2 linked regions of the Oryctolagus cuniculus genome follow. The protein of the gene in region 2 interacts with the protein of the main gene of each other region in a biochemical or structural test. Links are inferred from orthologs where the notes say so. Each region holds a gene or a part of one and is shown on either strand. Other genes may lie near its edges.

What was found.
Region 1: of the proteins of UBE2I (region 2) and NACC1, one has a biochemical effect on the other in vitro, tested with the Homo sapiens proteins (2 studies listed by BioGRID). The link is inferred for Oryctolagus cuniculus from reciprocal best matches to the Homo sapiens genes UBE2I and NACC1.

Annotation. Positions count from the first base shown.
Region 1 is NC_091447.1:62,530,437-62,534,173, forward strand, and holds the start of NACC1 (nucleus accumbens-associated protein 1), read left to right. Parts: upstream 1-903; 5' UTR 904-1,127; intron 1,128-3,737. UniProt on the Homo sapiens protein: Functions as a transcriptional repressor. Seems to function as a transcriptional corepressor in neuronal cells through recruitment of HDAC3 and HDAC4. Contributes to tumor progression, and tumor cell proliferation and survival.
Region 2 is NC_091450.1:33,712,269-33,715,982, forward strand, and holds the start of UBE2I (SUMO-conjugating enzyme UBC9), read right to left. Parts: upstream 2,856-3,714; 5' UTR 2,590-2,855; intron 2,407-2,589; exon of another isoform or gene 2,250-2,406; intron 2,103-2,249; exon of another isoform or gene 1,950-2,102; intron 456-1,949; 5' UTR 447-455; coding exon 381-446; intron 297-380; coding exon 213-296; intron 1-212. UniProt on the Homo sapiens protein: Accepts the ubiquitin-like proteins SUMO1, SUMO2, SUMO3, SUMO4 and SUMO1P1/SUMO5 from the UBLE1A-UBLE1B E1 complex and catalyzes their covalent attachment to other proteins with the help of an E3 ligase such as RANBP2, CBX4 and ZNF451.

The sequences.
Region 1 (3,737 bases), on a different chromosome or scaffold from region 2:
GAGCGAGGAGGTTGTGGCTTAGAAAATGGGCGATAATAGAGCAGCCCGACACCTGTTGCTTGTCTCCAGGGTATTGGGTGCTGTGTACGCTCTGTTGGTAAAAGCTTAGGCTGTGGAATAGGATATAGTGGGTTCGAATCCCAGGGTCCCCGCACGCTCCGGCAAACTTTATACTAAACTCTCTGGCCTCACTTTCCTTAGCTGTTAAATAAGCACCTCCGTTTCCAACGTAGAGCAAAGAGAAAACTACAGAATGTCTGCAAATAAGCCCTGAGAAAGTTTTCACCCGTGTAGGGCGGTAGGGGAGCCATCCCGGTCCCAGCTGCCTGGATTCCTGCTCACTTTGCCACGTGTTCTGCACTCGGCCTAAGTTTTCCACATTTGCAAAACGGGCAGAACATTTAGCGATCGTGATTGGGTCCCGGTGAGAATTAAGCGAGTTAGTGAAGGGCAAATGCTAACGGAACCTGGCACCGTGTGAGCATCGTACAAATTTTAGCTTATTATGGTCGATTTTTTTTTTGGAACCTGGGTTTCAATCCTGGCAGCCGCCACCACTTTCTCGCTCTGTGATCTTGAGCACGGTCCCTCATCTCTCTGCAAGAGCTCATTTCCATGAAGAGAGCCTCAAACAGTGCCTGGCGGAACACACAGCGGTCTTTATTGTTTTCGTTTCGCAAGATACGAAAGGTCAGAAAGGCAGAGTGATTTGTCCGAGGTCGCGCGGCGCCAGGCCGGATTCGAACCAATTTGCAGATCTGAGGACCCTCGGAGGCGCGCAGGGAGGAGGAGGAGGAGACGGAGCTGGGAAGGAGCGGCGTTCTCGGAGCTCGGCTGGCCACGCCTAGGGGGCGTGGCCGGCGGCGAGTGGGCGGGGCGGCGGCCGCTCCTCCCCCGGCCGGGCTGCGACGGCGGCGCGGCTTGCGCTCGCTCGGCGCTCGGCTGGGGCGGCCTGGCCCACAATGAATGGCCGCCGCGGCTGCCGCTGCTGCTGAGGCGGAGGCCGTGGAGGCCGCGGAGGCGGAGGCCGAGGCCCCGGCGCAGGGGGGCGCGCCCCGGGCCCAGGCCGGGCCTCAGCCGCCGCTGCGGAGCCCGCCGGGAGCCCCCGGAGCGCGGCCACGGCGCAGGTGAGGCGGCCCGTCCGGGGCCCAGTTCCGGCCTCCTCCCGCCGGGGGCGGCCCGAGGGCATCGGAGGACCGGCAGGGGGCTGAAGCGGGGAGGGCCGGGGTGCCTCCTGCCACGGAGGAGGAGCCGTGCCCCCGCAGCCTGTACGGGGCCGGCGAGTGCAGGGAGGCCGGGCCAGCCCGGGTGGCCTTGAGCGTCCAGCCCCGGGGGCCGGGCCGGCCGGGCTCGGGTGGGGGGTGGGGGGAGGCGGCGGGATCGGGCCCGGACTCCCCCTCCCGCCTCATTCCCGGCGGAGGGAGGGCCGGATGGAGCCGGGGCAGGTGCCGGGGGTCCCGGGAAGTTGGAGGGCACGAGGAGGAAAAGTGAGGAGGCGCCCCGGCGAGGCCGGAGGGGGAGGGGGAGGGGGAGCCGGGCTCGGGGCCGCGTGGGGGGGAGGGGATCGCTGCGCGGCCGGAGGGGGGCGGGGAGGGGCCGGGCCTGCAGGTACGGTCCGGGCGCCGGGGGAGGTGAGGCGGTCAAGTTACAGGCCTGGGGGCGGCGGCGAAGCCCAGGAAGTGGGGCATGGTGGTGGGTGTGGGCGGAGTTAGTTCGAGTGCGGGCGGCTGGGAGATCCCGGAGATGTTTGCAGGGGGGTGGGGGAGGCGGGTCAGCTGAGGTCAGCGCTCGGAGACCTAGTGGGGTGTGGGAAGCCAGATTTAGGGGCGATCGGGTACGGCGAGGGGGCTCCTGTAGGCGGTTTTTTTGGGGGGAGGCAGAGCCTTTGGGCTAGGCTGGTGGGGATGTGGGGGCGGGTCAGGAAAAACTAGTGTGACCAGAAGGGAGGTGCCCCAGTGTGTGTCCCCCGCCCCAGTGTTAGCTCAGGGTCAAACCTAGGAGCCTCCCGCCCACCGCGGCACCCCCTCTTAATCGGTGGGGCCTCTGCCGACTGTTGGAGCTGCTGGCTGTCCAGTGGGTGGGCGTTTGGACAAGTAGCCGGGGACACGGGTCTGTAACTTACCCAGCTTCTGGTGGCCCTGGCTCCCCTCCCGCCCCATCCAGGGCACAGCCTAGCACTCATCACCCTGGGTGTCTTAGAATCCTGGCCTTTTTTTTTTTTTTTTCCCTTGTGGCCACAGGAGCCTGGAAGCCAAGGTCTAGGAGATGGCAGCTCACAGGCTCCAGTTCCCTGGCCCCCCGGGGTTCTGGGCACCCCCGTCCCCCTCGGTGAGCGTGGGAGGCTTGTGATGGAGTGAAGACAGGTGGCAGAAGAGAGGTCAAGTGAGCCTCCCGGGGGCCACTGGGGTGAGCTCACGGGGCGGGACGATGAGGAAGCCGTGGCGAGGGGCATCGTGGCTTTTCTGCAGGGGCCCCAAGGCCTGAGCTGGCCTTCCGGTGGGCCTGGCTGCTCTGGATTCCCTGGAGAGAGAGAATTCTCCCCTGGCCATCCCTCCCCCGACCTGGCCCCGGGGGCGGGGAGGGGGGGAGGCTGTGTCCTCTTGTGGGCAGACTGGAGTCTCTCCGGTGTCCCACGGGGACTGAAACAGTGGAAGCTTTGTCAGAGGCCTGGTGGCACCGCCTCCTCCCCTTGCCCCTGTGGGAGCCGGGAGGGCAGGGGTCTGAGAAGCGGGATTGGACCGGCTCCGGTTCTGGAGCTGGGCTTTGCTGTGCTCGCCTTGGCCGATCTGTGTGTCCGCGCCCCCCACCTCCCGCCGCCACCCCCACACCCCAGCTTCGGTCTCCGGTCCCACCACCCCGCTCTGACTCTTTCTGGGCTCATTGCAGGGCTGGTAGGGTGGCCCGGGGGCTTTGGTTTGGGAATTTCGGTACCTGCGGCAGCGCTGCCAGGTCAGTGGCGTCCGCCCAGTCGCTCCGGCTTTAACCAGGGCTTTGCTCTAATTCCCCTCTGCCCCGGCCTGGAGCCTGCCCTCCCCTCGGGTTGGCCCCCTGGTTCTGAGGGGTAGGCAGTGAGCCGGTGGCCCCGTATAGCCGCCTTTTCCTTGCCCGGGCTGGCCTGGCCGCGGGTGGGTGCGCCTGGTTGTGGCAGAGAAGGTGGGAGTTGTTCCTACCATGCGTGTGGCAGAAAAGGACCCCGGGGAGAAGGCCCTGGCAGCAGCTGCTTTGCCGGGAGACCCTAGGGTGCTCAGAGCAGGGCCAGTGCAACAAGCAGACCCCACCCCGCCCCCGCCCCCTGCCCGGGACGGTTGGATTTCTGCTGGGGGCTAGGGCAGCAGCCCTGACTAACAGATCCCAGGGCAGCCACCCGCGAGCCAACGTCTGTTCTGGTGCAGCCTGAGACACGCAGAGGAGGAGATGGCATGGGGCACCCATGTTTATAAAGCTGATGGGGCCGGGGGGGGGGGGGGCTTGGCTGGGCGACAGGAAGGCTTCCGGGGCAGCTCAGGTCGGCAGGGGTGGCGCCAGGTTTCAGAGGGGCAAACGTCGCAGGCCAAGGCAGCCTGCCAGCCGCCCGTGAACTGCTCGGAACATTTTTTTCTTTGTGGTCTTCCCCAGGGATGACCCTGGTGTCAAGGAGACCCAGGAAGGAAGAGCCCTTGTGTCTCTCGGTCTCTTGTCTCCCTCCCCCCACTACCCCCAGATGAAAGTTAAACGCCTCGGCCCCCAGGCTGTTTGGA
Region 2 (3,714 bases):
GGTTCGAGTCCCAGCCTCCTGCCAACGCAGACCCTGGCAGGCAGACGGCCCCCGCCCCCCGCATGGCCCTGCCAGTCTCTCCAGCCAGGGGTGGGGCTTTGGAGCTGAGGCCACTGCCAGGTCAGGGACCGCGAGACATAAAGCTCCCTCTCGGAGCAGCCACCAGCCACCAGCGCGGGGTCCTGCCGCCGCCCCCCGCCCCGGCCGCTTACCCCCTTCTTGCCGGGGATGGCGCACTCCCAGTTCATGAGGTTCATCGTGCCGTCGGGGTTCTTGGTTGGGACAGCCACGAAGCCCTGCGTGGACAAGCAGGGGAGTCCCCGGGCGCTCAGGCCGCCCCGCCCCGCCCGCCCCCGCCCCCGCCCGCGGGCTCTGCTTACAAACGGGTGGTCCTTCCTCCAGGCCTTCCTCTCCTGGGCAAGTCTGCTGAGGGCGATGCCCGACATGTTCCAGTCCTGGGGACACGGGCGCCGTGAGGGCCCCACTCCCACGAGCCCGAGTCACGCCAGGCTGGGAGGGCCCCACACCTCAGGCCGCGGGCGCACGGCGCTGCTGAGGGGGGCAGCCCAGCGCCGCTGCCCCAGCCTGGCCTCCCCCACGCAGGGCGCCTGCGCCCCGGACCCGAGGGCCAGCGCCCTGACCAGGGCCGGCCACAGCGGCCCTCAAGGTCCAGGACCACAGCCCAGGGCCCAGGCCGCCGCGCCTGGACTCCACCAGCTGCTGTCTGCCCCGTCCTCGGAACCCACGGGTGTCGCCCTCCAAGTCCCTGGCTACAGAGCCACTCCACGGCTCACCTGGCACTGGTTAGAGGGGGAGGCTCTGCCCGGGGCGGGCGGCATCCCAGAACCCAGCAGGCGAGAGCCCAGGAGAGCCAGACCTCCACAGACGATCGGACGAGGACCACGGTCCTCGGGCTCCTGAGTGCCGGCGCCTCCGGCCGTCGCACACCGCGCACGGCTGCAGGCTGAGCCCACGGCTGCTCCACTTCCCAGCCGGCTCCCTGCGGGGGGACGCCCAGGGCCTTGGGCCCCTGCACCCGCGTGGGAGACCAGAAGAGGCTCCCGGCTTCCACACGGCCCAGCCCCAGCCGACGGGGCCGTCTGGGCGAGCCAACCAGCGGCTGCGCGACCTCTAACTCTGCCTTGACAATAAATAAACCTTTAAAGAGGCGAAGCCGCCGCCAGGCTGCCACGCCTTCCCGCACCTGGCGCCCCAGCCCGGGCCCCTTCCGGGAACAGGCGTGGCGGCCCGGTCCCAGCACACCTGCCTGTGGCTCACCACAGCCTCCACCTGCACGGGCAGCGCGCGAGCCAGCCCCGGGCGCCCTGGGGTCCCCGGAAGCAGGCAGCACAGCACGGGGCAGGGGCCGGCAGGGGCCTGGGGGCCGCGGGGAGCCCGACGTCGGTCCCCAAGGCTCCTGTGCGCCTCTCACACCCTCCCCGCTGCAACCCGCCCTCCCGAGCCAGCGCATCAGAACTGCACCCCTGCCCGTGCTGGGCCCGAAAGAGCTCCGCCCACAGAGACCCCCGCGGCGGGCGGCGCTGCCCGTCCGGGCCGAGCCACAGGTGCGCACCTGCTCGGCGCCGGGCGCCCGGCCTCAGTCTCAGCACGCAGCCGCGCTGGACAGGTGGGCTGCCGCGGCCCGCACCGGCCGCCTCCGTGGCCCTTCTCGGCCCTCCCGCACCCGCGGACGGGCCCTCTGGGGCATGCACCCCACGCCTCCCTCGGCTGCGCCCGACCCCCGTCCCGGGACCCCCGCGCCCCGCCAGACAAAGGCACAGCGGCGGGCTTGGCCAGCGGCCTTGCGGGAGAGGGCCGGGGCGCCGCGCGGGGCAGGCGGCCCACACAGGCCCCGGGAGGCGGACGGAGGGCCGGGCGCGCTCCGGGCCCCGAAGACGCGCGACCCCCGCGGCGGGGCAGGGGGCTGGGGGCCGCGGCCACGGCCTCACCTTGGCCGGCACGGAGCCGCCCGCCGCCCGTGGCGAGCGGGGCGCTCTCGGCCGCGCAGGAAAACTTCCCTCGGCGGCGGCGGAGCCCCCCGCGCGCCCGCTGGTCCGCAACCGGCCGCTCCCGGCGCCCTCCCGGGCGGCCCCGCGAGCCCCGCGGCCCGAGGAAGGCGCGGCCCGGGCGGCCGCCGTGACCCCGAGGCCGCGCGCCGCCCGGAAGGCCGCGGCGCCCGCCTCGCGCCCCGCGCGGGCCGCCGACGGCCCGGCCCGAGCCCGCGAGGCCCCCCGCCCGGCCCCGCTCACCTCGGGCGGCCGCGGCCCGGCGAGCGTCACGGACGAGCGGGGGCCGAGCGGCGGCGGCGGCGCTTCCCTTTGTCTCGGGACTTCCCTCCGGAGCCCGCTCCGCGCGCAGCCCCGAGCGCCGAGGACCCCGGCGCGGGCGGGGCGGCGGGGCGGGGCCTGGCCCGGGGCTGCCCGCCGCACGCCTGCGCCGCGCGCCGCCGCCGCCGCGCCGCGCCGCGCGCCGCCCGCGGCCCCGCGCGCTCCTCGCCGCCCGCGCCCCGCCGCCGCGCGCCCGCGTCCCGCGTCCCGTCGGGGAGCCCGGCCCGGGGGCGACTTTCCAGTCAGGCGGCGCCCTGGACACCTGTGCTCTTAAAGGAGCCGCGTCCTCGAAGTGAGGGAGCGTCTGCAAACTCTCCTTCGGGGCGGGCGGGCGCACTCGAGGATACGCCGGCGAGCAGCCGGGGAAGGGGCGCGCCGCGTTCCTCAAGGGCTCCCCGGATGCCCGGCGGGCGCGTCTCAGCGCGTAGGTTCCGGAGGTCTCCTTGGGGCCGGGGCCCGGGGCCGGGGGGCAAAGACCACTGAGGCCTACGGATGCCCGAAACGGCGCAGGACGGCGACAATCCCCTGAGTCTGGCGTCCTGTGAAACCCCCTGCAATTGGCCAATGCAGGGGCCTGGGCGGGGCATCGTCCAGATCCGCCCAATCAGCTGACGCCGTACGGAAGGCCGGACGCTCGCCAGACCGACGGGAGGAGAAGCGCCGACGCTCCCTAGCCCGGGGCCGTCCCGCCTGGGGGAGGGGCGCGCCGGGATTCCCGCGCGCGGTCTCGTCCCACGAGCGCGAGCGCGCGGTTCGCGGGTCCGCGCCGTCCCGCGCGGGCACGGCGGGGTCGCCCCTGGGGCTAGGGCGCCGTCCGAGCCGTCGGCGCGGTGGGCGCCCGGGGCCAGGCGATGGGGTCGGCCGCAGAGGGCCTGGAAGGCACTCATTCACGCCCTCCTCCAGGCTCCGCCGTCCGCAGCCTTCGCAGCTCTGGTTTGCCGGGACACGGAACGTGGCTGACAGGCCTGGCGGCAGCGGCGGAGACCCCCGAGGGGGCAGAGACGCCCCTCATTCCCCGCGCCCCTAGGTCCCGGTCCCAGCTTCCCCGCGGTCTGCGCTGGGCTGTGTGGCCGTGGAGAAGCCGCTGGACCGCGGCCCTGGGGTCCCAATGGGCAGGGGTGGGGGGCAGGGCCTAGGTCTGCAGGTGGGGGGGGTAGGGCCCAGGTCTGTGGGGAGGGGGAGCTGGGGGGCCCAGGTCTGCAGGTGGGAGGGGGTCAGCTCAGGGGTCCCGGATCCGCGGTCCTCCACACGGGGACACCTGGGGCAGGGAACCCACCTCAGATGGGCCAGGTTCAAAGGACACACTGAGGCTGGGGGGGGGGGGTGAGGGCCCCGGCCCCGCCTTGGGGGGCAGCCCTCCACAGATCACCCACAAATCCGGGCTGGG